Linked DNA regions of Mus musculus. The protein of the gene in region 1 interacts with the protein of each later gene in a biochemical or structural test. Links are inferred from orthologs where the notes say so. Each region holds a gene or a part of one and is shown on either strand. Other genes may lie near its edges. The genes, in order: Plcg1, Bag3, Lat, Fgfr2, Gab1, Eef1a1 and Pdgfra.

The links.
Region 2: the proteins of Plcg1 (region 1) and Bag3 form a complex in vitro, tested with the Homo sapiens proteins (2 studies listed by BioGRID). The link is inferred for Mus musculus from reciprocal best matches to the Homo sapiens genes PLCG1 and BAG3.
Region 3: the proteins of Plcg1 (region 1) and Lat form a complex in vitro, tested with the Homo sapiens proteins (2 studies listed by BioGRID and IntAct, with this or other methods). The link is inferred for Mus musculus from reciprocal best matches to the Homo sapiens genes PLCG1 and LAT.
Region 4: the proteins of Plcg1 (region 1) and Fgfr2 form a complex in vitro, tested with the Homo sapiens proteins (2 studies listed by BioGRID and IntAct). The link is inferred for Mus musculus from reciprocal best matches to the Homo sapiens genes PLCG1 and FGFR2.
Region 5: the proteins of Plcg1 (region 1) and Gab1 form a complex in vitro, tested with the Homo sapiens proteins (2 studies listed by BioGRID and IntAct, with this or other methods). The link is inferred for Mus musculus from reciprocal best matches to the Homo sapiens genes PLCG1 and GAB1.
Region 6: the proteins of Plcg1 (region 1) and Eef1a1 form a complex in vitro, tested with the Homo sapiens proteins (2 studies listed by BioGRID, with this or other methods). The link is inferred for Mus musculus from reciprocal best matches to the Homo sapiens genes PLCG1 and EEF1A1.
Region 7: the proteins of Plcg1 (region 1) and Pdgfra form a complex in vitro, tested with the Homo sapiens proteins (2 studies listed by BioGRID, with this or other methods). The link is inferred for Mus musculus from reciprocal best matches to the Homo sapiens genes PLCG1 and PDGFRA.

The regions. Positions count from the first base shown.
Region 1 is NC_000068.7:160,758,787-160,762,312, forward strand, and holds part of Plcg1 (1-phosphatidylinositol 4,5-bisphosphate phosphodiesterase gamma-1), read left to right. Parts: intron 1-667; coding exon 668-764; intron 765-895; coding exon 896-1,120; intron 1,121-1,196; coding exon 1,197-1,345; intron 1,346-2,293; coding exon 2,294-2,408; intron 2,409-2,518; coding exon 2,519-2,680; intron 2,681-2,773; coding exon 2,774-2,862; intron 2,863-2,952; coding exon 2,953-3,137; intron 3,138-3,526. UniProt on the Homo sapiens protein: Mediates the production of the second messenger molecules diacylglycerol (DAG) and inositol 1,4,5-trisphosphate (IP3). Plays an important role in the regulation of intracellular signaling cascades.
Region 2 is NC_000073.6:128,540,567-128,544,041, forward strand, and holds part of Bag3 (BAG family molecular chaperone regulator 3), read left to right. Parts: intron 1-1,240; coding exon 1,241-1,642; intron 1,643-3,475. UniProt on the Homo sapiens protein: Co-chaperone and adapter protein that connects different classes of molecular chaperones including heat shock proteins 70 (HSP70s), e.g. HSPA1A/HSP70 or HSPA8/HSC70, and small heat shock proteins (sHSPs), e.g. HSPB8.
Region 3 is NC_000073.6:126,366,546-126,370,552, reverse strand, and holds the start of Lat (linker for activation of T-cells family member 1 precursor), read left to right. Parts: upstream 1-1,302; coding exon 1,303-1,405; intron 1,406-1,583; coding exon 1,584-1,611; intron 1,612-1,716; coding exon 1,717-1,751; intron 1,752-1,970; coding exon 1,971-2,058; intron 2,059-2,189; coding exon 2,190-2,254; intron 2,255-2,337; coding exon 2,338-2,367; intron 2,368-2,446; coding exon 2,447-2,507; exon of another isoform or gene 2,508-2,582; coding exon 2,583-2,677; intron 2,678-4,007. Other genes in the region: Spns1 (protein spinster homolog 1), read left to right, coding at 140-234. UniProt on the Homo sapiens protein: Required for TCR (T-cell antigen receptor)- and pre-TCR-mediated signaling, both in mature T-cells and during their development.
Region 4 is NC_000073.6:130,193,801-130,197,326, forward strand, and holds part of Fgfr2 (fibroblast growth factor receptor 2), read right to left. Parts: intron 2,575-3,526; coding exon 2,372-2,574; intron 1-2,371. UniProt on the Homo sapiens protein: Tyrosine-protein kinase that acts as a cell-surface receptor for fibroblast growth factors and plays an essential role in the regulation of cell proliferation, differentiation, migration and apoptosis, and in the regulation of embryonic development.
Region 5 is NC_000074.6:80,877,669-80,881,802, reverse strand, and holds the start of Gab1 (GRB2-associated-binding protein 1), read left to right. Parts: upstream 1-1,323; 5' UTR 1,324-2,199; coding exon 2,200-2,271; intron 2,272-4,134. UniProt on the Homo sapiens protein: Adapter protein that plays a role in intracellular signaling cascades triggered by activated receptor-type kinases. Plays a role in FGFR1 signaling. Probably involved in signaling by the epidermal growth factor receptor (EGFR) and the insulin receptor (INSR).
Region 6 is NC_000075.6:78,478,909-78,483,052, reverse strand, and holds the start of Eef1a1 (elongation factor 1-alpha 1), read left to right. Parts: upstream 1-1,328; 5' UTR 1,329-1,414; intron 1,415-2,364; 5' UTR 2,365-2,398; coding exon 2,399-2,542; intron 2,543-2,632; coding exon 2,633-2,812; intron 2,813-2,904; coding exon 2,905-3,201; intron 3,202-3,278; coding exon 3,279-3,429; intron 3,430-3,518; coding exon 3,519-3,775; intron 3,776-3,860; coding exon 3,861-4,095; intron 4,096-4,144. UniProt on the Homo sapiens protein: Translation elongation factor that catalyzes the GTP-dependent binding of aminoacyl-tRNA (aa-tRNA) to the A-site of ribosomes during the elongation phase of protein synthesis.
Region 7 is NC_000071.6:75,150,851-75,155,070, forward strand, and holds the start of Pdgfra (platelet-derived growth factor receptor alpha isoform 1 precursor), read left to right. Parts: upstream 1-1,400; 5' UTR 1,401-1,607; intron 1,608-2,085; exon of another isoform or gene 2,086-2,848; intron 2,849-4,220. UniProt on the Homo sapiens protein: Tyrosine-protein kinase that acts as a cell-surface receptor for PDGFA, PDGFB and PDGFC and plays an essential role in the regulation of embryonic development, cell proliferation, survival and chemotaxis.

The DNA.
Region 1 (3,526 bases):
GCAGATTTGTGACTGGGGACAGACACAATGCTGAGGATTTTGTTAGTGTGCCCCGGAGGGCAAGGTACTGAAAGATCCAGTGGCTGGCAGGCTAGACCCTGCCTGGATTTAGCCTGGAATGAAAAGAAAGATTATAAATAGTGGAGCCCCTGAAGGAGAAGACTACAAAGAACAGTGTGGGGAGTGCCTGAGTAGGCTGCAGCTAAGATCGGGAACGGGAGGAGGAAGGCTGCATTGGCCATGGGGACGTGAGATGGTAAGGTCGTCTAAGGCACACACATTGCCAGGTGGGCTTAAGGCCTTAGTGCTTCAGGGAACCGGGAAGCAGTGTTTTTGCTGAAGGACGAGGCTAGGTAAAGAATAATCAGAAAGCATTATTGGGAGGGCCTTGCCGACCTTAGCTCCATGTGAGGTCATTTGGCACTTAAGTTATGGTGAGACTTCCACCCCAAGAGGGTTGGGGAACAAGTGTATCTGTGGAGACGAAGAAAGAGATAATTTTTGGCCAAAACTGGGAGCCAGTAGTTTTGTTTAGTGTCTGCTGCTATTTAAAATGTGCAAGGAGAGAAGAGGGCCTCAGAACACCTGAAGTGTGTGTGTACCCAAGGCTGGTAGGAGCTTCCTTCTCCTGGGCAGGGCTCAGCCTGGGCCTTGTGTGTGTCACCAGCTCACTGAGGGAAAGATGATGGAGAGGAGGAAGAAGATCGCCTTGGAGCTCTCCGAGCTTGTGGTCTACTGCCGGCCCGTTCCCTTTGATGAAGAGAGTAAGGCTGGGGCCAGGTGTGGTGTGCATGTGCTGAGGGGCTGGTGGCTTGAGAGTGGCGTTTAATACCCTGTCCCTTACATACACTACACAAGGGGGCCGCTCTATACACGCTCTCACTGTTTGGCTCAGAGATTGGCACAGAACGTGCTTGTTACCGGGACATGTCCTCCTTTCCGGAAACCAAGGCTGAGAAGTATGTGAACAAGGCCAAAGGCAAGAAGTTCCTCCAGTACAACCGGCTGCAGCTCTCGCGCATCTACCCTAAGGGCCAGAGGCTAGACTCCTCCAATTATGACCCTCTGCCCATGTGGATCTGCGGTAGCCAGCTTGTAGCACTCAATTTCCAGACCCCAGGTGAGGGGGTCTCTGTGGGTGGGGAGAGACACTTAGGGCAGTTCCACTGGAGCACACTGTAATCCCACTCTTGCAGACAAGCCTATGCAGATGAACCAGGCCCTCTTCATGGCTGGTGGGCATTGTGGCTATGTGCTGCAGCCAAGCACCATGAGAGACGAAGCCTTTGACCCCTTTGATAAGAGCAGTCTCCGAGGTCTGGAACCCTGTGTCATTTGCATTGAGGTGAGTATATTTGTCTGGGTTCTTCAGGGTGGGAAAGGGTTATGAAGACCATTGATACTAAACCTGCTAAGAAGGTGGCGACCAGGTGGGTCAGCACAAGTGGGAAAGGGTACAGGGCCAGAGGTGAGCAGCATTTCTGCTTTACATTGGGGAAGAGAACTTATCTTGGTCTATTCCTGAGCTTGAAGTAGGACCACCTGAAGTGGAAATCCAGCTACAGGTTCTCTGTGAGGTTGGGATCCCAGGGGTAGCATGGCTGATCATGGCCAGTTTTTGGCACAAATGAGTTAGGATGTCGGGTTAAAGCTAACCTGTGAAAAGTCACTACCTGGAAGGAAAAACCTGGTCAGAATGACACAAATCAGGCTAAAAGGGGCCTGTGCTGAGCCAGGCTCCTGTCTGCAGGACCAAGCAAAACCTGAGCTTGCTAGAGCATGACCAGCAGCCTGTTTGCCTTTCCCAGTTCCTAGAATAGAGCTCCCCAGTCCATGTCTGGTGAAATGCTGTGATCAAGGGTCAGCTCAGCCTTCGCTATGGGAATCAGCAGGGGTGGCCTGAACAGTCTGGAAAGAGTAAGAATAGTCTATGGCCAGCTGAGCACACTTAGGAGCACAGAGCCACAGATGGACATGACTGCTACTTTCCAGATATTCCCTCTAAAGTGGAATAATTTAAAAGATTCCCACATTGGAACAGACATGGATTTAACATGAAATGGACTGCCAAGTACGCATGATACTTAGCTAAAGCTCAGGGTTTTACAGCCAACAGCTTGCTCTGGAGTGAACAATGAGCGGCCTAATGGGCAGCACCTTCAGGGCCCAGCAGGGGGCATACTGCCTCCATGGTGCATTTTCCTCCACGATTTGCTCCCCAAGCTTCTGCTGGGAGGATGTTCGGGGTGCTGGGGGGATGTCATCACCCCATCTCTGCCTGCCTGCCTCACAGGTGCTGGGGGCCAGGCATCTGCCGAAGAATGGCCGGGGTATTGTGTGTCCTTTTGTGGAGATTGAGGTGGCTGGGGCTGAGTACGACAGCACCAAGCAAAAGACGGAGTTTGTAGGTAAGTCAGTCTTCCCTCATTACCCATCATTCCCCTGGGGTGTTAAAGACCTCTCCACCAGTCATCACATCCCGTAGATGTGGCCTCAGCTTTTGCCCTTGCTTTCACAGTGGACAACGGACTGAACCCTGTGTGGCCTGCTAAGCCCTTCCACTTCCAGATCAGTAACCCAGAGTTTGCCTTTCTGCGCTTTGTGGTGTATGAGGAAGACATGTTTAGTGACCAGAACTTCTTGGCTCAGGCTACTTTCCCAGTAAAAGGCCTGAAGACAGGTGAGGAATCTTCCTTATAAAGTCTTGCTGTCAGGATGGGGCTTATCCACTTGCTTGACACTTGATAGGCTGAGAGCCAGGTATTTCTCTTAGGATATAGAGCAGTGCCTTTGAAGAACAACTACAGTGAAGACCTGGAGTTGGCCTCCCTGCTCATCAAGATTGACATTTTCCCTGCTAAGGTAACTACAGCAGCGTGAGCAGAGAGTTCAGTCATAGCCCCTGAGATGCAGAAGAGACCTCAACTTTTGTGCACTTCCCTTGCTGAGCAGGAGAACGGTGACCTCAGTCCTTTCAGTGGCATATCCCTAAGGGAACGGGCCTCAGATGCCTCCAGCCAGCTGTTCCATGTCCGGGCCCGGGAAGGGTCCTTTGAAGCCAGATACCAGCAGCCATTTGAAGATTTCCGCATCTCGCAGGAGCATCTAGCAGACCATTTTGACAGTCGGGAACGAAGGTGAGGGAGATGAGGGGAAGTTAGCCAGTGTGGGACCTTGGAGGAAGGGTGCTGGAGCCAGAAAGATCAATCCTTTGGCAGCTTTCTCCTCTGTGGAAAAGGGATAACCGTGTGTCTTGGGTTGTCCTGTCTGGCTGCAAGGCCAGTAAGGACACTTCACTTCTGTTCAGGGCCCCAAGAAGGACTCGGGTCAATGGAGACAACCGCCTCTAGTCAGACCCCACCTAGTTGGAGAGCAGCAGGTGCTGTCCACCTGTGGAATGCCATGAACTGGGTTCTCTGGGAGCTGTCTACTGTAAAGCCTTCTTGGTCTCACAGCCTGGAGCCTGGATTCCAGCAGTGAAGGCTAGACAAAACCAAGCCATTAATGATATGTATTGTTTTGGGCC
Region 2 (3,475 bases), on another chromosome or scaffold:
TCAGAGCAACTGCCTCGCTTCCTTCATCAGTGTTCCTATTCACACTGGGCTCCCTGCTTCACAGAGAGCTCAGAGTTACTCTGTTCAGTCCTTTCGGGTGGACATCAACCATTTTGGACCTAAGCTGGAGATAAATTCAGGATGGCAGCTCGGTCTTCAGGGCGTGCCACTAAAGGAAATCCAGCGTTAGGTCAGAAAGGCGACAACTTTAGCCCTGAGGTTCACCATTTCGAGGTCTGTCGCTAGTGAAAGGGTATATTGCTCATTCGGTTCTGAGTTGAGGTTGTGGCCGACAGATGGGGTAGGGTTGCTAAGCAGTTATGCCTTCCTTTTCCGTCCTCCTCTCTGCAGCGCGTCCCCTGGGTCCGTTGGCTTTGTTACTGAGGACGAGCCCTCATTTCCTGCATGCGTCATAGTCCTGATTGTTTTTAGCCTCTGCTTGTGTTCACCTTCACCATCAGGGGTGAAAAACCATACGTAATGTGGGGTACTGGAGATTTCTGTCCTTTCTCGGAGATGTGTTTCCTACGTCTGTAATGTTCCTCCGGTACAAGTCAAAACAACATCAGAGATATTAGAAAATTTAAGCCAACAAGGCCTTTAGTAGCTAACCACCTGGAGAGCAAGCTCCCTCAACCTTCTAGATGACTAGAAGATAGATTAGAACAGAAAGGGACCTGGCCTGCACCCAGACACAGGCAGCTCCCAGATGCTTCACTGCATTCTCCAATAAGAGGTTAAGCGGAAATAAGGAGACATTCAGTAACAACAAACACAGCGGCCCACACCCTTCCTGTGCATGCTGCTGCCTGCCAACGCACAGGCACAGATGCAGCCAGTTAATCCTCAAAGTAACCGTGAGGTGGGTAGGCAGGCTGTCCTTTTCCCATATTTCAGGCAAGGTGCAGAGAACGGTCGCGCTTCCGAGTGTTTGAACCCTGGCTCTTTTATTTTAGAGCTCTGGGAGCCTTGTGTGGGCTGGACAGGTGCTCTCCCGAGGAACTGTGTCCCCAGTCCTCGAGGTCTTAATATACTATATTTGTTAAGTGGAGTGGTGCTGGAGATTGAAACCAGGGACACACTGAGCACAGAAGGACACACAGCCCGTATCCTCACACTTTGAAAATGTTTATAGCAGGAGAGCTTTGTGGGATGTGTTGTCCTGGCCAGGTGGTGTCTGGTGGCTATTTGGAGTGCCAGGGCAGCAGGATCATTCACTCGTGCCCTTTGTCTCTTGCAGCGATCTCAGTCTCCAGCTGCCTCTGACTGCTCATCCTCTTCCTCCTCGGCCAGCCTGCCCTCCTCCGGCAGGAGCAGTCTGGGTAGCCATCAGCTCCCCAGGGGCTACATCCCCATCCCCGTGATACATGAGCAGAATATCACCCGGCCAGCAGCCCAGCCCTCCTTCCACCAAGCCCAGAAGACCCACTACCCAGCTCAGCAGGGTGAATACCAGCCCCAGCAGCCTGTATACCACAAGATCCAGGGCGATGACTGGGAGCCCCGGCCGCTTCGAGCCGCTTCTCCATTCAGGTCACCCGTCAGAGGTGCTTCCAGCCGGGAAGGCTCGCCCGCCAGAAGCGGCACACCGGTTCACTGCCCATCTCCCATCCGTGTGCACACAGTGGTTGACAGGCCTCAGGTATGGAGAGTCATTGGTTGACAGAAGTGCAGATGGCTAAGGCAGGCTGAGAGGTTCTGCAGATGCCCTGGGATTCCTCAAAGCTCAGTCTCATCAGCATAGCACAGCTGGAGACAAGCAGAATTCTAGAAGTTTCTGGTCAGGGGCTGTTGAACCGTCAGTAGTCTCCACGGCTTTTTCCATTGCAGCTGCTCTAGGGGCAAAGGGGGGAGCCTGTGGTAAGGTTGTCAGTCACTCTCACCTCTATGACCAAGTTCCTTAATGTGCATCGTACCTTTCCTGGTCTTTCCCTCCCCCCGCTCTCACTCCAACCACAGTGTACATTGTTTCTCTTTCTCTATTTCTCTTCTACCAGGCATTCTCTTGATCCCTCTGGGCATTTGCTCAGGCCCTAGTTTCTCCCTTCAAGGCAACTCCCTCCACGCCTTGCACCGAGTTCCTTAGGATTCAGTTTGTGATTGTTTTGTGCAGACCAGATGGCCCTCTTATCTCTTAAGCTCTGAGCCTGACAGCAAGGGACCTTGTCTGAGACATTCCCCCACCCCTTTTGCAGTAGGGTACTGTGGTTCCCGGCTGGCACATTAGTGGACAGTAGTGAAAAGCCATCCTGGTGTGTTGGATAACATGGGCACAGCCCTGCTTATCCTGCAGTGAAGCTAGGGAGAGATGTTAGGGAAACCAACAGCCTGCAGCTCAGAGGGCAGGACACTCAGTGTCACTGGGCTCCCAGCTGTAACACTGAACAGTCGAATTGCTCTTTGTCATAGTTTTGAAAATGAAATCTCCCTGCGAGAGATTTCCAAAAATCCAAATGTGGAATGTCTTTCTCTTACAAACAGTGATAATATCTCCTCCTGGGACAGGAAACCCTCCTTTTTGTTTGTATCTGCACGTGTTGTGCATGCATGTATGTGGTACATGTTTTGGGCGTGTACATGCACATCCTTGTGAAAGCCCATGGTTGATGTGAGTCTTCCTTGATCAGTGGCTACCTTTTCCATTGACGCCGGGTCTCTCACTTGAACCCAGCGCTTGCCAGTGCAACTAGTCTAACTGGCCAGCTTGCTTCACCGGTTGGTTATCTTATCTCTGCTTCTTGAGTGCTGGGATTTCAGGTGGACCACCACACCCATCCAGCTGTCTCCTGGGTGCCCTGGGGAATGCAAACTCTGGCCCTCACACGTGTGCAGCAGGTGTTTGACCTGCTGAGTCACCTCCCCTGTGCTGTCTTTAGCTTTTTTTATTTGGAAACAATTTCAACCTCTCTGAAGACCTGTAAGACTCATACACAGAAGACCTGTGTGCTTTTCAGAGTCCTCTGTTGTGCTTGGCTTTGTGGAGCCAGTCTCTCATACAGCCCAGGCTGGCTCCAGACTTGCTGTATGTCTGGGGGTGACTTTGAACTTCGGATCGCCCTGCTTTTGTTTCCCTCGTGCTCGGGTTACAAGGTGCACCGCTGGGTTGGGTTCACGTGGTGCTAGTATCAAACCCGAGGCCTTTTACACACTGTGCAAACACTGGCAATTGAGCTGCATCCCCAGTGCCCCCTGCCACCCCCGGCAATGCTCGCTGCTGTCATTTTCTGTCACTTCTTCCTCTACCATCTGCTTACTTGAACTGCAGGAGACTTACTTGCAAATATCATGGCCTTTTACTTCTGGACACTTCAGCAAATATTTTCCCTAAGAAATACAACCATAGTAGGATGGCCAGATTCCGGAAATTTAATGCTCTTCCAATAGCATATTATCCAGTTTGCCATCCACTTTCAAATTTCCTACCCAGCACTTTCCCATGTTGGGACCTGATCCAGGAGTGGAAACACTGACTTTA
Region 3 (4,007 bases), on another chromosome or scaffold:
GATTGGGCTCTGTCTGTGTGCAGTTCTGAGGGCTCTCCATGCTGCCTCATCTGGGCCCCTCTGCCTGTGTCCCCTTGCTGCCTGTGTCCCCTTGCTGGCTCTTATCTTACTGGCCTTGGCTCTGACCCCTTTCTCGCAGGTCTGTTGCATGAGTCTGGGCCCTCAGATGACCGGATTGTAGTACCTCAGCGAGGCCGTTCTACCCGAGTCCCCGTGTCCAGCGTGCTCATCTGAGGAGCCGGTGCTTACCCGGCCACTGATGCATCGCAGCTGGGCCTTGGGCCCACCCAAGACGGTTCCCAGGCAGAAGCCCTCACCAGGCCCAGGTCCAAGAAGGAAGCCCTGGGATATCTCCCAGCTCCCAGACACTACATGGGCAGCCCAGGGAAGAGATGGGAGTCCAGAAACGGGGAAGGGGTGTCCTCTCTACTAGGACAGCCCAAGGGGTTTGGTGCTATTTGTAATGGAATAAAATTTGTAATCAGACTCCTGACTGACTGCTTGTCTCTCTGTGGGTGCCACTGGCCTCAGGGAATATCCATAGTCCCAGGACTTAGCAGGGGCTGTCAGGTCACCCTGTGGGTAAGTCCCTGTCTTCTGAGCTTGGTAATCTAGAAGGAGGGCTGCTCTTTTCTGAGTGAGCTGGTTCAGTATGACTGTGACTCACCGTGGTCCCCTGGAAGTCGCTCTCCCAGTAGTTAAGCCTGGGAGCTGGGGGCCTGTGGTGCCCTCAGTGCCCTCGGTCCACACAGGCCTTGGCAGAGCCTCCTTGCAGTTCTCCCACCCGGGCATGGGGAGGGTACCGCGGGCCTGGTTGGCACGTGTCTCCTTTCCTAGTGGACGGGCTGCCTCATCCTGCAGCCTTAGACCCTTCCTCCACACAGTCCCTCTGCCTCCTCCCCCTTCCCACAACTGGGTGGGGGTGAGTGGGCAGGGGGCAGGCTCAGCCTGCTGAGCAGCCTGATGATTTCCTGCCCTCACCACAGCTTCCTGTCGCACGCGGTGGTGAGCAGGAGAGGCAGGCGGGGAGCAAGAAAGGGGCAGGTACAGCTGGGCACGGGGATCGTGCAGCTGGTAGCTGGGGCACGGGCCCCAGCTCTGGCTCTGGGGCGAGCACCTTTCCAGAGCCAACACTGCTCTCAACTCAGTCCAGCAAGAGAGGGGAGCCATCCAGCCCCGAAAGGATACGGCTGCCTACTGCCGGGCGGATCCCAGGCTGGAGCCCGCTTGGTCCCATACCCCTGCTGCCACTCTGTCTCGAGGGGCTGCAGTGCAGCAGGGCCTGTGGCAGGTGCTCTGCAGATGGAAGCAGACGCCTTGAGCCCGGTGGGGCTGGGCCTCCTGCTGCTGCCCTTCTTGGTCACGCTCCTGGCTGCCCTGTGCGTGCGCTGCCGTGAGTTGCCAGGTAAGTGGGAAGCTTTGCGGAACTGGATGATGGGTGGGCGCTCCATTGGATCCTCATACCCTCCCCAGCCCCTGCACTCTCCACTGTCCCTACCTGGGCCCTGATTGATGGTGGGGGGCCTGAGTTTCTTTGTCCCTGGTGCACCCCGATCCTGACTTGTTGGATTTCTTTCCTCCAGTCTCCTATGACAGCACTTCCACAGAGAGGTGAGTGGGAAGCCCGTGTCCCTGTGTGTCTTCCCTTGGTTCCACTCAAGGGTTTGGGGCTGGGGCCCTCTTGGCCCTGTACCCAAGCTGTCTCTTTCCTGCCAGTTTGTACCCAAGAAGCATCCTCATCAAGCCACCTCGTGAGTTCAGTGTCTCTGGCCCTCCTCGAGGGTTTTTAAGAGTGTGCGTTTGTCCTTGTTCACCTTTAGCTGTCTGAAGGGCTGTTCCCTGGCTTGGGATGGGGAAAGTGGGAGCCCCCATGTCTGTCTAGGGCATGTTATTTTGGGGTCCATTTGTCCTTCGAGGCCTTGATGGGGGGTGTCTGGAGCCATCCCTCAAGCTTCATTCTGTGTCCTCAGAAATAACCGTCCCCCGAACACCTGCTGTTTCCTACCCTCTAGTCACTTCCTTCCCACCCCTGAGGCAGCCAGACCTGCTCCCCATCCCGTGAGTATCCCCCAACTCCGTCCCTTGGGTCTACTGTGCCTCTCCACCTTCTAGGTTGGGGAGGCGCTTTTTCCTGGTTGTCTTGCTCCCAGAGTCCTACCTAGACGTAATCTCTGACCTTTGGCTTCCAGGAGATCCCCACAGCCCCTTGGGGGTTCCCATCGGATGCCATCTTCCCAGCAGAATTCAGATGATGGTAAGGGTGTAGGGCACAGGAGGGCTTTGGGGAGGATGTACAACCTGAGCTGATCCAGTCTTCTTCTCCCTCTCTCTTTGAAGCCAACAGTGTGGCAAGCTACGAGAACCAGGGTGGGTCTGGGGTCTGGGGTAGTGGGTGGGGTGGGGAGGCTGGACCTGTCCAGGTCGTGTTAACTCTCCTTTCTCACAGAGCCAGCCTGTAAGAATGTGGATGCAGATGAGGATGAAGACGACTATCCCAACGGCTACCTGTGAGTGGGTAGAGGGGAGGTGACCGTGGAAGTTGTGTGCCCTTTATCAACTTCTCGTTCCTTCCTTTCTTCCAGAGTGGTGCTGCCTGACAGTAGTCCTGCTGCCGTCCCTGTTGTCTCCTCTGCTCCTGTGCCTAGCAACCCTGACCTTGGAGACAGTGCCTTCTCTGGTGAGTCAGGCTTTCTGTCTACCTCCCTCTGCCATGTGCTGCCAGCTCTCCACTCTTGCCTCCCTCTCACCTCCGTGACGATTGCCGCCCTTCCATTTCCTCCTGTAGACGTTGGGCTTCCTGCTCCTCATCACTTCCGACTGTCTTGTTTTTCCTTCCACCTTTGCTCCTTCGTCTCTGTTGTCTAAGAAATTTCCTGACTCTTTTTGAACCCTGCCATTGAAATTTCATTTCTCGGCTGGGTGTGAGGGCCTACGATCCCAGCATCAGGAGGCAGTGGCAGGAGGGTTGAATTTGAGGCTAGCCTGGGCTACATAGTGATACCCTCTCTTCGAAAACCAAAACAGCACGACGATCAACAAAAAGAAAACAAAAGAATTTATTTCTCTTATCTGAAAGTCCCCCTCCCCTTTTTTGGCGTCTCGGTTCTTTTTGTATAGTACACTGTTGTTTCTTGGAAGCAATATCATCTAATGTATCTATAAGAACTTTGATTACATAGCCGGGTGGTGGTGGCGCACGCCTTTAATTCCAGCACTCGGGAGGCAGAGGCAGGCGGATTTCTGAGTTCAAGGCCAGCCTGGTCTACAGAGTGAGTTCCAGGACAGCCAGGACTACACAGAGAAACCCTGTCTCGAAAAAACAAAACAAAACAAATTTTGATTACAGATTGTTTCTCTCTGTGTCTCTATCCCTCTCTGGTTCTGCCCGTCTCTCTGTATCTCTGCCCGTCTCTCTGTATCTCTGCCCGTCTCTCTGTATCTCTGCCCGTCTCTCTGTATCTCTGCCCGTCTCTCTGTATCTCTGCCCGTCTCTCTGTATCTATCTCTGCCCGTCTCTCTGTATCTCTGCCCGTCTCTCTGTATCTCTGCCCGTCTCTCTGTATCTCTGCCTGTCTCTCTCACACACACTCACTGAAGATTTATTCTGCGTACCACATGGTCGTTGTTTCTCTTGGGCTGCTTTTCTCTGCTTTGGTCTTTCTCCTTCCTTGAGCTTTTCTCAAGTTCTGGTGATCTTCAGTTTTCTATCCTCTTATCTCTGTATAGCATGAGTATCCCTTACCTGAAACACTTCAATACAGATTTGGGAATATTTATAAACATATAATAAATTCTCTTGGGGATGAAACTCAAGATAAAACATGTAATTAATTTATTCATGTTTTATACAAACCATATATGTAATATATACACAGTCTGAAGATAGGTTTTTGTTTTGTCTTAGTTTTATTGGCATAGAGCGTCATTGTATAGTCCTGGCTGTCCTGGAACTTGATATCTAGACCAGGTAGACTCAAACTCAAATTAAACGTGTAGGTTACCATGCT
Region 4 (3,526 bases), on another chromosome or scaffold:
AACAAAATCGGTCATCAGATACGATGACCTGACTGAACCTGACCTGTTTGATTCCTGGGAATCACGTGGTAGAGAAAGGTGCTGGCTCCCATGTAAGTTGTCCCCTGGCCACCATTTCAAAAGGACCTTCACTAACCTTGCTATGCCATGTGCATGCCCCCACACAAACGCACACGTGCCCAAGCTACATAAATATATAAATGTAATATATAAATGTAAAAAGATGGAAATGGAAATGGAAAATGGAGAAATAGAAAGAGTTTTCTTTAAAAGTGATGCAGGCTGGAGAGATAGATGGCTCAGTGATTAGGAGCGCTTGCTGCTCTTGCAGAGGACCCGAGTTCTAGTCCCAGCACCACATCAGAGAGCTCACAACTACCGGCCCTCCAGCTCTGAGGGATCCAGTGCTCTCTTCCAGCTTTCCAAGAGCTCCAGCACACATGTATAAACACACACACACACACATCAGTTTTTTAAATGATGAAATAATTAAGGGTCAATGGCCTATCTACCTCAACTTATGGATTTTACTTCTTTTCTCTATTATAAAAACAAATGAGACAGGACATTGCTCCCTTTACTTAAACTCCCTAGACCAGAGTCCAGATGTTAAGAATGGCCCAGGGCTAAGAGATCAGGAGAGGCTGTGAAGGAGTAGCCAAAGGAGTGGCCAAAGGAGTGGCCATTCAGCCTGAAGCCTTAACACTATCTAGCCAGGTAAGAGTTTTATTAAGGACTCTTCCAGCAACTCATTCAGGCAACCAACTTTAACTTCAGCACCATCTAGCTTCTATGGTCCCACAAATGACAGTGGTGTCACTCAAAGTAGCACAGCATTCTCAGGATTAAAAGGAACCCAACTGAGCCTTTTTGACTCCACATTCAACAGCTGGCCAAAGGCTGCATCTGACATATGCTCCAAATTATATCTTAACCCTCTGCAAGAAACACCTGTTGGAAACGAGGCTTCAAGGACGTTGACAAGGACCTGCTCAGCCTGTAGTGTGAAGCTAGGTTGAGAACAGCCAAGGCCCTGTGTCCAAGCCACTACTGACCTGCTAGTTCCCACCTTGTCCACAGAAAGGGCCCAGGAAAGGCAGGGTTGGGTTGAACCCAGAGATTCTTAAGGTATTACACAGTATCACCCGAGAAAGTGTTTAAAATGCAGACTCTTACAGATCCATTCAAGAAGTACTAAATAAGAATTTCTAGGGTTGAAACTAATGAATATGCAGTTTTAACAAACACTAAGATGCACCTCCCCATAGCACAGGCCAGGTTGTTCATTTCCATTGCTAATTTAAAAAAAATAGTGACAATCTTATCAGAATCAAGTTCCGAATCTTATCATAAAGATTTACACCCACACATGCCTGGCTCTTGGAATCCAGGAGCAAGTACAGAAGTCAAGCATTTTTTCCTTATCCACCTTTGAAGGGCTTTGTTTTATGGCACAGGGAAGGTTCTATTGCCTTACCTCCCCCAAAGCCAGCCATCAAAGATCAAGCTCAAGGTTAAAGGTAATTTTCTCCCTGTTCTACATAGCAATCATCGTATCTGGGGGCTGGAGAACTGGCTCAGTGGTTAAAGAGTGCTTGCTGCACTTCTAGAAGACCAGAGTTCAATTCCTACCACCTATGCTGATAAACTCTAGCACTAGTGGACCTGACACTCTCTTTTGGTCTCCACAGGCACCTGCACACATGTACTTATAACCTAAATACAAACACACACACACACACACACACACACACACACACACACACACACACACACACACACACAATCATCCTATCACTGAATCCCTAGCCAAACCTGTAACAATAAACTATACGCATACAGCGTTTTAAAAACCAGACAAAATCAGCCAAAACCCAGTTTAGAAGACATCACAGACCACTTTTATGCAAGCATTAGTTCAGGTATACCTCCATCCTCTGTTTCTGATCTCTACTTAAAATAGTAAATCAAAGAAAATTAAACTCTCTTTCCTATGAAGGGTAAAACTTGAACCCGAACATCTGGCCTCATACAGAAGCAATGGAGCCAGACCAAATGCTTGTTCTCCCAAAGGAGCCGTGAGCTTGAGGGGCGCAGAGGGCATGGCCTCCTCTGCCCATCCCACTGGGCAGCTCCAGTCTTCACACTCTTGTCCTTTAAAACCAGAGCCAGCCTACCAAGCCCAGAGCAGCATTGTGACTTAATGCTCTTTAGTCCCAACCGCTGACTGAACCTCCACACAGTGGCAGATTAGAATTGCCTGCAGTTCTGGAGCTCACAGAAGTTAGGGGGAAAATCAGAGGGAAGAAGATCCAAGAGCTGGCTGGGTGGGGGAGGGGAGTAAATTTCTTCAAACTCTTTATCTACTTTCTGTTACCTGTCTCCGCAGGGGGATGCGCTTGGTCAGCTTGTGCACAGCTGGCTGGCTGCTGAAGTCTGGCTTCTTGGTCGTGGTCTTCATTCGGCAAAAGATGACTGTCACCACCATGCAGGCGATTAAGAAGACCCCTATGCAGTAAATAGCTATCTCCAGATAATCTGGGGAAGCCGTGATCTCCTTCTCTCTCACAGGCGCTGGGTTGCAGATCCGCGGGAGAGGGACAAATAAGCAGGCCACAGAGTTAGGATACCAGAGGGATGTATCGAAGCACACTTCAAGGAATGACGCCAAAGACATCAAGGGCTTCCCTATCTACAGGTCAATGCACAGAGATACCCAGATGCAGAGCAGCCATGGGCCTCCTGCCTGGGCCTCTCCAAATGCTAACAAAGAGCCAAGGGTTCCTCGGTTTATCACTACAGCCCAGGCAGCTGCCTTCTCCAGCCTCAATGGGCATCTGCCACCAGTGAGCAGCTGATACCAGACTGTAATGGGGGACTACAAGGCCTCATTCTGCTAAGCCCCTGGTCATAGCAGGACACCCAGGACACCCACCACAGGAGGACTGTCTGTCATGATGGCGGCTCGACATAAACCAAACAGAATTATTAAAAGGGACCTCATCCACTGTTGCTTCTAAGGAGACAGGGATGATGCTTGCTAGCTAGGGAGGTGCCTCCAGGGGAAGGTTCAACAGGACCCCAGAGGATGGTAGCTCCAAAGGGCTCACACTCAACTAGTAGGCTGGCCCAAAATGTTTTGGCAAGTCCCTTCATATGGTCCAGAATATTTATTCAGTTAAACAAACAGATGTATCAATCTTGAGATAGTCACATATATAATATATGATATATATGTATGTGTATGTGTAGATATGTATGTATGTATGTATATATATATATATATATATATATATATATATATATATATAATACTTAAGAACCAATAAAATGTTTGTATATCCAGTTATCCTGACTTGTTACTGAACCTTTAAATGTATGATGGTACTGCATGTGAGCAGAACTGTGATTAATTTAGCATATTCTTCTGTCAACTATATTGGTTCTTCCTCAACTGGTCAATCTACAAGCAGTGTATTTCCAAACATGATTATTCTCAAGCTGCATCTCCTTAAGGGGTAGTGCT
Region 5 (4,134 bases), on another chromosome or scaffold:
TCCATTTCAAAAGCACTTTATGGCAAAAACAAAGGGCACTGTCTCTTCTTATATGCAAGGGCTTTTGTCTTATTATTAACTTAGCATCTACTTTTCTTTTCTTTCTTTAATTTCTTCACTCCTGCCTCCATGTCTCTCTCTAGTCTTTCTTTCCCTCCCCCTCCCCTACCTACCTTGGCAGGCCTGGGATTACAGGGGTTCTGCCAGGCAGGGCTCCCAGCACCTTTTCCTCTTTACGACCCCCAAGGTTTCAGACTCAGAACACACATTTATTAGGAGAGCCCCAAACTCATGCTTCTCAGAAATGCTTGTTTATCTATTTGTATTTTCACACAAACTCCCTTTTTGAGACAGGGCCTCTTTATGTAGTCCTGGTCGCCTTAGAACTCACTTTGTGGACAAAACTGGCCTTAAACTCACAGAAATCTGCCTGCCTCGGCCTCCCAAGCGCTGGAATTAAAGACATGCATCACCATGCCCAACTCTTTAAAATTTTTGTCTGATTATATTGCCTTCTAAAATTTGTTCCAAGGCTTTGTTTCAAACACACCCGTAAAGAAGAGTCTGTTACAAGACTGTGTCAAACTCAGCCCAGATATAATAACTGTAAAACACACAAAAAGGCAAATAGAATTAGGGTACCCAGAATGATTTCTTTTCCTGTCCAACATCCTAGCGCAGGTTTTAAACAAACACAACGCCAACTGGAAGAAACAGCCCATGAGTGGAAGCAGTGTGAGACTTTATCCTGTCTTAGAGATACACGCAGCTGAACGCTTTGTGGAGGCTAAGCGGTAGCATCACTCGGTAGAACAGCTCCTGGGTCAGGCCCTAGGCACCCAGGAGGTCCCCCACCCCCTTGGTCTCTGGGTGCACAGTGAGGGTCCTAGCGCGCTCCTGGTCCGGGAGACGCAGTCCTTCAGTCTCTCGAGCAGCCAGGACCCGCTTGAGTGAGTTCTCCTCCTGGCTGGGTTATTTTTTCAGACTGTCAAGTAGGGAAATCCTTCCGAAAACTCTGGATCGCGAAGGCACAGCCGAGTACAAACTCCTGACCCTGGGGGTTGTCAAGATGGCAAACTCAGTCGGAGCTGGCGAGAGTGCCCGGCACTCCCGCTCTCACACTGGGGTGGCGCTGCGTTCCCGGAGACCGCCGCCTTCCATAGCGCGCGGGCCCGGGGCGGCGGGGCGGCGAGGACCCCAGCGCGCCTGCTGACTACAGATCCCAGGGTGCCTCTGCCATCTCGCTCCCTCCCAGCGCCGGCCCCGCCTCCCCAGCCCTTGTTGTTTTGGCTGGAAGCGCTCCGGAGGAGTTTCAGAGAAAGTCTGGGCTGAAGCTAGAGGCGACCGATCGTGGGAAGGGGAGGCAGAAAGGCTAGGAGGAGGAGGGCCGGGGCCCAGGCCGCGCCTCCCCGAACCCGCCGCGCGCCCCCGGGGTGGGGGAGGAGCGCAGGGGACAGGACAGAGGGGTCCCTCCCCGAAGCAGAGCCGCCCTGCGCCTCGTCCCTGTGCTGATCCCCGCCCTCATCCGAGGCTGGAGCGCAGACCCACCCTCCCACCGCGGACCCGCGACCTCCCCGACGCCCGGCGACGCCCTGACCCTCGCTGCTGGTCCGCGAACTCCCTAGGCTGATCAGGACCTGCCCCTGTGCCGGCTGCCACCCGGACGCCGCACGCCTTCCCAGGCGCCCTTTTCCGAGCAGAGGGAAAGAGAAGATCGAGCCCCTCTCAGTGTGAATGCGCCAACGGGCGGAGCGGAGCGGAGCGGACACCGCGCGCGGGCATTGTGTGTGCGCGTGCAGCGTGGGGTCCGCAGCGGGGAGCACCCGCGGGAGGTCCCGTTTCCAAGGGGCGGAGCGCAGGGCTTCCAGTTCTGGGCTCCCTGTCCGGACAGAGTCCCAGCGGAGCCCGACCGCTGCCTAGGCGGCGGGACGGCGCGCCTGGCGGCCAGGAGGGCGCACTGAAAGAAGGTCGGCGAGCCCTGGTCCCCGCGGTTCCCGATCGAGTTCCTCTTCAGTCCGCGAATCTGCGGGAGAGGTTCGATCGCCGACACAGGGCGCGGGGAGCCGGGCCGCCCCGTCGGGGGAATCTGAGACGTCCTCTGGGCTGCGTTTGACTGCCGTGCCCGCCGTGCACGGAGCGCGTCCACTGTGTCCACCGACCCCTTTGGTGTCTGGTCCTCGAGTCCTCACGGCGTGCACCATGAGCGGCGGCGAAGTGGTTTGCTCGGGATGGCTCCGCAAGTCGCCCCCGGAGAAGAAGTTGAAGCGTTATGTAAGTACAGGTCAGGTCACCGTCTGCCCCGCTGCAGCAGCCTGCGCGCCCGGTTGGCTCTTCCACGAATCCCGCCCTCCTTTTCCTCGATCCGTCTCTCGGCCGGCGGGCTCCGGACCGGGTGCGGTCCACTCCCACCCTGACGTCCACTCGGCGGCCAAACTTTCTCCCTCCATATTGCAGACTGCCTCCCTTGTAGGCCTCGTTGCCTGTTAGAGAAGCCCAGTTTTCCAGCTCAAAACTGGCTGCATACTTTGGTTGTTGTTATTTCCATTTAGCAAGGGTGGAGTGAAACAGGGAGAAAGAGCCTTCTTTTATTATCTGTATCAGATTCTCATGGAGCTGTTAAATCTCCCCTCCCCGAGAAACCGCGGAGGTAGTAAGTACTCATGGGTTCTCGATTGGGTCCGCGCCCGCTCTCCTTTGCGCCTCCAGGAGGTGGAGGGAAGTGAACTGTGGACGCAAGAAGTGGATAATATAGGCAAACTTCTCAAAATATTCGCTCAAGGGAAAGGGGAAAAAAGTTCTTATGAACCCTGCCGTCTGCTTAGCATTTTCATGGTTTTGCTTTGAGGACACTGGATTTTGGCCTGAGAACCCTGGCGGTTTGATTCGGCAGGAGGGCGCTGGGGGGAGCCTGGTGGCTGGTGTTTGGGCGCCTTAGAAGCGCTGTCAAGCCCCGCAGGAGGGGACAGCTGAAGCCAACAGGGATTTCTTGATGCTGGCGTTTCTTTTCCCGGGCACCAGAACGGCTTAACTGGTATTTGCGTAATTGATTCAAGATGCTGATTGTGAGATGACTGTGTTCACGGTTAGGAAAACTGTATCTTGAAGGAGCCTATAATACTTGAGTGGAACTATATCCTCATCGGGAATCTAGGGTCCTAAGTCTTCCTTCAGATTGGCTAATTTTGCGATGTACCCTGTCAGTAAAGAAATGACACTTTGTACCGGCATTTGAAACAAGTATTTTTAGGGTGAAATGTGTTTCCCAAAAGCAAAACGTGTACCCACTTAATTAGAGTTTACTACCTGTTTTGATGAAACCTGTTTCTGGTGGAGGGGCGTCTACACCAAGAATCATCGGACTACTCGCTTGCTTGTGTGAAACCAGGCAATATTTATTTTCACGGAGCTCACCAGCGAGTTTCGGGCTCACCTTCTGGTATAATTTAATACAGCCAAGTAATTTCATTGAAAGATGTGATTTGACAAATTGTCAGAGGTTCCCCAAAGATGTCTCTCCATCTGTCACAGTTTGCTTGGATTTCTTGGTAAAGATGGCAACTTGATTCCAGAAATTTGAGAGTGGCAGTGACATCTTCAGAATTAGTTCTAAAGAGACGATTGTGGTGAGGCGATGAGGGGTGAGGAGATAGAGGTAAGGCACTATTTAGGAAAGACGGTTTTAGGATTCTTGAGGAAACTAAAGTACAATATATTTGCTGATCATGCAGTCCGGTGCATTCTTTCATTACTTATGGCCTGCCAGACATACTGAGTTCTGTACTAGGCACCAGCCACAAGGTAAGGAGAAAAGCCTTGCAGGGAAGGAAAATGACAACTAATAAGGGACAGATATGGTGGTATTATATGCCCAATACCACCCAGCACTCCAGAGGCAGAAATGGGAGGCTCCGTGGACAAACTGGTCTCCATAGCAGATTCCAGGCTAGCCAGGACCGTGTCTCAAAAATAGAAAACACAAGCACAAAAACCAAATACAGCTGATTATTTATAAAGATATTAATAATAATATGATTATGTTTACTTATATGTATCATTATATGACCACAGCAATGTTCTCCCACAAAAGTCCCAATCATGCCAAACCTGTTAGCTTCTGAATCAGGGAAGAGTGAT
Region 6 (4,144 bases), on another chromosome or scaffold:
CCCTCAAATGCTCCTAGTAAGGTTGGTGCAAGAACATCAAATGTTTGTAACTGGGAAGTGATGTTGTACACCTGGGAGAGGAGATCCAATGATGGATAATCAGATAGGATATCTTTGAGCTAGGAACTGTAACTTGGTGATAGACACCCTAGGGTTCCATCTCCAGCACCCCATATCCCATTACAAAATAATTCTTTTTCCATCTCTAGCATTAAAAAACAAAACAAAGAAGTTCTTCTTTCCTCTGAGAAACACTTCTGTGTGCCTGCTCTGAGAGGCATTTAAAAATGGCCAGGGCTTTAATCCCAGCAGGTCCAGGTCGGATTCCTGTGAATTTGAAGTCAGCCTGGTCTACTACCTATTCCAGGGCAGCCAGGGCTAAAAAAGAGAGACCTTGTCTCAATAACAAAACAATGCTGGTATGATCGCTAGAATTGCAGCAAAGAAAGGGATGTAACTAACAAGGCAAGCCATTTTTGAGAAGCAGTGATTTCACAAGTGTTAGGGATGGGCGCTGGGAGATTGCTGATGCTGGTATTTAGATGAGACCATGTGGGGTGGATTAGATTATTTTCAGGTTTCTCATGTTCAATCAAATGGCTGTACATACACATGTACACATACAATCTTTTTAGTGTAACAAACCTAGAATCAAAGTAAAGCTAACTGTAGGATTGAAGCATATTCTGAACTGAACCCTTAGGGGTGTGAAGGCCGCTTCAGGTTTCCAGAGAATCAACCGGCATTGGATGGAATAAACCAAGGGGCCAGCCCAGGGGCAGATCGGTCGAGCTCTCCGCTACTGAGCTAAGCCCTTGGGTTCTAGAGCCGGGAAGGGTCCCCAACATTGTGTTCCTCTCCCAGCCAGGAGAGCATGGGCTGCGGGAGGCGAACAGAAGGATAGCGGGGCTGACGTCGGGAGGTGGCCTCCGTGGGAAGGGACACCCGGATCTTGACACAGCCTTGGCAGCGGAGTAAGGAAGAGTAGGGATAGATTCTGGCCGCCCTCTTGGCCAGCTTCTCGCCGCCCCACCCTCCGCTAGGGCCAAGAGTAATTCATACAAAAGGAGGGATCGCCTTCGCCTGGGGAAGTCCCAGGGACCGTCGCTAAATTCTCATAACCCATAATCCCGGTACCCGCCCCACCACAGTGCGAGGAGCATGCGCTCAGGGCTGAGCGCGGGGAGAGCAGAGCACACAAGCTCATAGACCCTGGTCGTGGGGGGAGGGGCGCACTGAGCGGGGGGGGGGGGGGTGATGGGGGGGAGGACCGGGGAGCTGGCGCGGGGCAAACTGGGAAAGCGGTGTCGTGTGCTGGCTCCGCCCTCTTCCCGAGGGTGGGGGAGAACGGTATATAAGTGCGGCAGTCGCCTTGGACGTTCTTTTTCGCAACGGGTTTGCCGTCAGAACGCAGGTGAGGGGCGGGTGTGGCTTCCGCGGGCCGCCGAGCTGGAGGTCCTGCTCCGAGCGGGCCGGGCCCCGCTGTCGTCGGCGGGGATTAGCTGCGAGCATTCCCGCTTCGAGTTGCGGGCGGCGCGGGAGGCAGAGTGCGAGGCCTAGCGGCAACCCCGTAGCCTCGCCTCGTGTCCGGCTTGAGGCCTAGCGTGGTGTCCGCGCCGCCGCCGCGTGCTACTCCGGCCGCACTCTGGTCTTTTTTTTTTTGTTGTTGTTGTTGCCCTGCTGCCTTCGATTGCCGTTCAGCAATAGGGGCTAACAAAGGGAGGGTGCGGGGCTTGCTCGCCCGGAGCCCGGAGAGGTCATGGTTGGGGAGGAATGGAGGGACAGGAGTGGCGGCTGGGGCCCGCCCGCCTTCGGAGCACATGTCCGACGCCACCTGGATGGGGCGAGGCCTGGGGTTTTTCCCGAAGCAACCAGGCTGGGGTTAGCGTGCCGAGGCCATGTGGCCCCAGCACCCGGCACGATCTGGCTTGGCGGCGCCGCGTTGCCCTGCCTCCCTAACTAGGGTGAGGCCATCCCGTCCGGCACCAGTTGCGTGCGTGGAAAGATGGCCGCTCCCGGGCCCTGTTGCAAGGAGCTCAAAATGGAGGACGCGGCAGCCCGGTGGAGCGGGCGGGTGAGTCACCCACACAAAGGAAGAGGGCCTGGTCCCTCACCGGCTGCTGCTTCCTGTGACCCCGTGGTCCTATCGGCCGCAATAGTCACCTCGGGCTTTTGAGCACGGCTAGTCGCGGCGGGGGGAGGGGATGTAATGGCGTTGGAGTTTGTTCACATTTGGTGGGTGGAGACTAGTCAGGCCAGCCTGGCGCTGGAAGTCATTTTTGGAATTTGTCCCCTTGAGTTTTGAGCGGAGCTAATTCTCGGGCTTCTTAGCGGTTCAAAGGTATCTTTTAAACCCTTTTTTAGGTGTTGTGAAAACCACCGCTAATTCAAAGCAAAAATGGGAAAGGAAAAGACTCACATCAACATCGTCGTAATCGGACACGTAGATTCCGGCAAGTCCACCACAACCGGCCACCTGATCTACAAATGTGGTGGAATCGACAAGCGAACCATCGAAAAGTTTGAGAAGGAGGCTGCTGAGGCAAGTATAAGGCAAAAGGAGGGATGGGAATTCTTTAAGCAGGGAGTAGAACCTAGGTCTTGGGTGTACTAATTAGAAGTCACTTTGCAGATGGGAAAGGGCTCCTTCAAGTACGCCTGGGTCTTAGACAAACTGAAAGCTGAGCGTGAGCGTGGTATCACTATTGACATCTCCCTGTGGAAATTCGAGACCAGCAAATACTATGTGACCATCATTGATGCCCCAGGACACAGAGACTTCATCAAAAACATGATTACAGGCACATCCCAGGTGTGTAAAATTTACCCATTCCTGACTCAGGATATTTTTTAGTGGGGTGCTTTCTCTGAGATAATGGTATATGATTGTCTTGTTTCTTACAGGCTGACTGTGCTGTCCTGATTGTTGCTGCTGGTGTTGGTGAATTTGAAGCTGGTATCTCCAAGAACGGGCAGACCCGCGAGCATGCTCTTCTGGCTTACACCCTGGGTGTGAAACAGCTGATTGTTGGTGTCAACAAAATGGATTCCACCGAGCCACCATACAGTCAGAAGAGATACGAGGAAATCGTTAAGGAAGTCAGCACCTACATTAAGAAAATTGGCTACAACCCTGACACAGTAGCATTTGTGCCAATTTCTGGTTGGAATGGTGACAACATGCTGGAGCCAAGTGCTAATGTAAGTGACTTTTAAGGTAGTTGAATGGAGAAAGCCGCAATAAGTAAGGAGGTTATAATTGACTGCCTGTGTTTTAGATGCCTTGGTTCAAGGGATGGAAAGTCACCCGCAAAGATGGCAGTGCCAGTGGCACCACGCTGCTGGAAGCTTTGGATTGTATCCTACCACCAACTCGTCCAACTGACAAGCCCCTGCGACTGCCCCTCCAGGATGTCTATAAAATTGGAGGTAAGTAGAATATTAAGTAGAATGTTGACGTGAATTTGAAGTCTTATGTTTTGTGTATTAAATACTTATACAAAACAATACTATTTTAGGCATTGGCACTGTCCCTGTGGGCCGAGTGGAGACTGGTGTTCTCAAGCCTGGCATGGTGGTTACCTTTGCTCCAGTCAATGTAACAACTGAAGTCAAGTCTGTTGAAATGCACCATGAAGCTTTGAGTGAAGCTCTTCCTGGGGACAATGTGGGCTTCAATGTAAAGAACGTGTCGGTCAAAGATGTTAGACGAGGCAATGTTGCTGGTGACAGCAAAAACGACCCACCAATGGAAGCAGCTGGCTTCACTGCTCAGGTGACACATTTTTAAGATAGGTGGCTAGATTGGTTGTGTGTGCAGAATCACAAGGCAAGACTTAAATACACGCTGTTTTTCTTAGGTGATTATCCTGAACCATCCAGGCCAAATCAGTGCTGGCTACGCTCCTGTTCTGGATTGTCACACAGCCCACATAGCATGCAAGTTTGCTGAGCTTAAAGAAAAGATCGATCGTCGTTCTGGTAAGAAGCTGGAAGATGGCCCCAAGTTCCTGAAGTCTGGCGATGCTGCCATTGTTGATATGGTCCCTGGCAAGCCCATGTGTGTTGAGAGCTTCTCTGACTACCCTCCACTTGGTAAGCCTGATCTGAGTCTGCTACACTGAACATCAAGTTTGTAATAGGA
Region 7 (4,220 bases), on another chromosome or scaffold:
GAGCTGAAGATACACCAGAGGCGGGCGTGCAGAAGGGCGGAGGAGAATTGGGGCTCTCAGCCCAGCTCCAGGCATCCTCTTCCCGAGCCTGATATCCCCACGGTCGGTCCTGTCCCATTTAGGGACAGCACTCGGCATTTCGGGGAAACCTCTGTGATTTACGCCAGAGCCTCAGGTCCACTATAGTGGTGAAATAACCGATGGTTATTCGACGTTTTGTTATCAACCTGGTCACCTTGTCCATTTTAATTTTGATGTGTGAGATGGAGGTGGTGGTGGTGGTGGTGGTGGTGGTGGTGGTGGTGGTGGTGGTGGTGGAGATAGAGGACTTCTCACACCCCCCCCCCCACACACACACACCAAAAGCATTCAAAAATAGAGCGCAAGTCGAAGGCCCTCCCTTCCCCCACCCGCTCCGGGAAGTCCCGCTTCGCCCAGGTTTGGTTCCTGGAGTGTCAGCGCCCCCTTTCCCTCGCCAGCAGGATCGCCGTGTCCCAACTGTCTCTCGCTGGGTGTCTTGGGTTCCCTGGTTTGTGGCTCAAACGTCCTGAAAGCTTTCCTAGGGTACGTCGCGTGCGACCCACTCGGAAGGGTGGAATTTAGGAGGATAAAAATCCTTCTGCCATCAAGATGCAGAGGGCAGGCATTTGGTAGTCACGCCTAGCCTGAGCGTTTTCATATGAAGATAGAAGAAGCGAGGACCAGATAACCCCCGAAAACAAAGGCAGGACCAGATAAGTGGCTCCGAAGGGATAAAGGTCGTTCTTTCCTTCTTCCGGAGAACATCCCAAAGGTACGCCGAGCAACCGTTATTTGCACACCGCCTCACAATCCAGCCTTTCAAAAACCCATCATCTTCCTATTAGACTCCACAGTTTCCTAATCCCATTAAAGGATTAGCAACTACACGGCACTTTCCCTTAAGACCCCCAGTTCAAAACGACGCAGCCGCGTTAGAATTTCTCCCCAGGGCCATATTTCTAGCGAGGCCCAGACTGTCTATAGAAAGGATAATTTGAATTCTAGATTTATATTCGTTTTAGAAATGAGCAGCAATTTTACGTGTATTTTCTTTTCGAAGAGAATACAAAACAATAGCACCCCCACCCCCAAATTGGGAAGTCAACTCATTTTGGAAATGATGGCTGTTTGTAGTTTCCTGAAACCTCTTTCCCGGCAGAACGTCAACACCTCCCCCTTCGGCCCCCCACCCCACCCCATCTGGTTTGCTCCCCCCTCCTCGTTGTTGTTGAAGTCTGGGGGTTGGGACTGGCCCCCCTGATTGCATAAGAGCAAAAAGCAAAGAAGAGGTCTTGAGCCTGAGAGAGTCAGAGAGCAAGGAGTCCTAGGGAAACTTTTATTTTGAAGAGACCAAGGGGGGGGGGGACTTCATTTCCTGACAGCTATTTACTTTAAGCAAATGATTAGTTTTTGGAGGACGGACTATAACATTGAATCAATTACAAAATGCGGGTTTTGAGCCCATTACTGTTGGAGCTTGAGGGAGAGAAACAAACGGAGGAGCTGCGGGGAAGGACTGGAAGCTTGGGGCTTACTTTTCACTCCGGGTATCGGATTTTCTTTGCAAATTGACATAGAAGGAGAAGGTAAGGGAGAGGAAAAAGTGACTTTTGTTTCTCAAGAAGGTCCCTGATCATAACTTGGGGCTGCAAGAAGCTAAGTAACTTCAAATTTTGGGCAACGAGGAAAACAAAAACAAAACAGCTGAGTTCAGTGGTGTGTCCAGAAAGTAACTTATTCTGAATAAACTTCACTGGAATGGGGGGTGTGGGGGGGTAACCATTAGAGAGTCAAAGATAAAAAAAAAAAAAGAAAAAGAAAAAGAAAATGAAAAAAAATCCAGACCTATTTTTAAAAGCAATGTTTTTTTTTTTTTCCCTACACAATCCTATAGCCTTCCAAAGAAATTGTTAGGCTTACATTTTTGAGGTTTTCCTCCAGGGTGGGGGTGGCGTTCGTGCTTACTGGGACGAACACCAAGTAACATTGGGGGGGTGGAAGCCGCGGCGCTTGGCCTCTTGGCAGTGGGTCACGGAAGAGGACAGGTTTTTAATGAGTATTTTCATTCGTCGCCCGCGGTTTGGCGGGACTACGCTGTAGCGGGTGGTGCGGCGCGAAGCTTGGGGAGGGGGCGCACCAGGAGAAGTGTGTGTGTGGAGGGGAAAGGGGCGCCGAGTGGGGCGCGGGAAAGCGCTAAGAAAAAAGGGAGGTGTGAAGGGCTCGGCTGGAGGAGGTCGGACCTCGGATGCCGGCCGGGCACACTCGGCGCCAGTCGAGCCCTCGTAATTACTGGACGGCGCTGCTGTTGGAAACATCTGGGGCCAGACTTGAGCGCGGCGGTGGCGGCTGCAGCACCGTGAGAGGGGCGCGCGGGCGAGGGGCGCAGCTCCAAGGGTTCCGGAGAGATTGGAGCGAATTACTTGGGTGCTAGAAGCCTCGGGCGGAATCCGCAGTGCGCTGGGATCGTGCGCCTCTCACTCCAGCGACGGAGGCAGCGGCGGCAGCGGCGGCGCGGACGAGCGATCTGGAATAATGACAAACACATTTGGCCTCGAGTGAAGAAGTCGTCCTGGCCTCGCATTCCAGCAACTGGGATTTGAGGAATTTCAAACTGCACTCCGAGGGGCCCTCATTGTGCTCCGTAGTCCCCACCCCCACTCGGCTCACTTGCGTCTCCAGTGGAGTCTTTTCTGCACGGCCGGGGGTTGGGGGGGCCTGGCTCTTGCTTAGTCCTGGCCGCAGGCAGCAAAGAGGCAAGATCCCTGGCTAGGAGCTGACCTCTTGTGAAGAAGTCAGGACATCTCTGAAAGGACAGACGTGGGTGCAGGTAAGCAGAAATGTAAGAGGCCAACCACCCTCGCCTCCTGCCTACGGAACTCTGGGTGCTTCTCTGCCCTGGGATGATGGATGCGAGGCACTGGTCGCCTGAACGCAACCTTTCCAGTGCCCCCCCCCCCCAACTTTCCTCCCAACGCTCAGTATCCTGCAAAACTCAGGGGCGGTCTCCGCGCAGCCTTCCCTCCTTCACCGTTATTCCCTTGGAAATCAGTTTATACATGTGAGATTAACTTCCCTCGAGCAGGGCCGGGAAAGCAGGAAGCGATCTCTTGGCTTTGAAGCTTCTGAGGTCGGCGATTCTTTCTGTTTGGAAGGCGTGTGGGGCAGTCTGCAGAGTAAGGCAGTATGACTCGGCCCTGGTCTGCAGCAGGACCAAGCCAGAGCCTCGCAGCCAGGTGTGCAGGAGTTGCCAGTGACTTGGCGACCAGCCTTGGCGAGAAAGGAAGTGTTGGCCTGTTTGTCTGCTGTGGGGAGTCCTTGCAGAACCCGCGCTTAGAAACTCCCAGGTCTGCTAAGACCTCTAGAAGACCCGGAGGGTGTGCATGGGGGAACCCAAGCTGGGGAGGGGGCGTGGGTGGCACTTTTAAAAGTCTGGGCTGCCCAGCGTCGGACAGAGCTGCCCAGAAAAGCCCCAGGCTGGGCGGTGTGGGAAACGGCTTTTTGGCTTCGTGGCGGAATTGCTCAATGTTTTGGACTGAATTGCTTCTCCTGAATGGTTTCGGATCAGTCTTAGGCAGCCTTGAGGAGCCGGAGGAGGCCTCTAGTGTAAACCCACACTGTGGTCTGCAGCTGTACAGCCCCAGATTTAACACCCAAAGTCTCAGAAGAGGCTCGGGGCTCAGGGCGCTCCTCGGGCGCACCTCTTCTGCCGTCGCACTGGAGTTTACATAACCTCTCTTAGGCTCGGATTTTCCCCTGACCAAGGCTTTCCATCTCATCCTTCCTCTCGTCCTCTTTCTTTGCAAATTCCTCTTGATGAGGACTCCTTCGATTTCCCAACAGGAGTGTGTGTGTGTGTGTGTGTGTGTGTGTGTGTGTGTGTGACACACCAATTAATTTGTCGCCGTGGTCAGTTCCTGCTTAGGAACCCTTGCAAAAGTCCTGTTTTGGGTTGTCTCTAGTACAGCTGGGTTTCTAAAGCTCGCGGGAGAGAAAGAAAGAAAGAGAACACAGTCCAACTCCACTGTTTATTGCCCCGGATCCCTTCTTTTGCTGGAGTCTGCAGACCCGCAGGGTTCAGACTCAGAACCTGGCCTCCCACTTCTGGGCCCAGGGGCTTCTACTTTCTTCCTGGGCGCGGGCTGGGGAGAGATGCAGGGGGAGGGGCTTCAGGCTGCAAACGCGTCAGGCGCCGAAGCTGG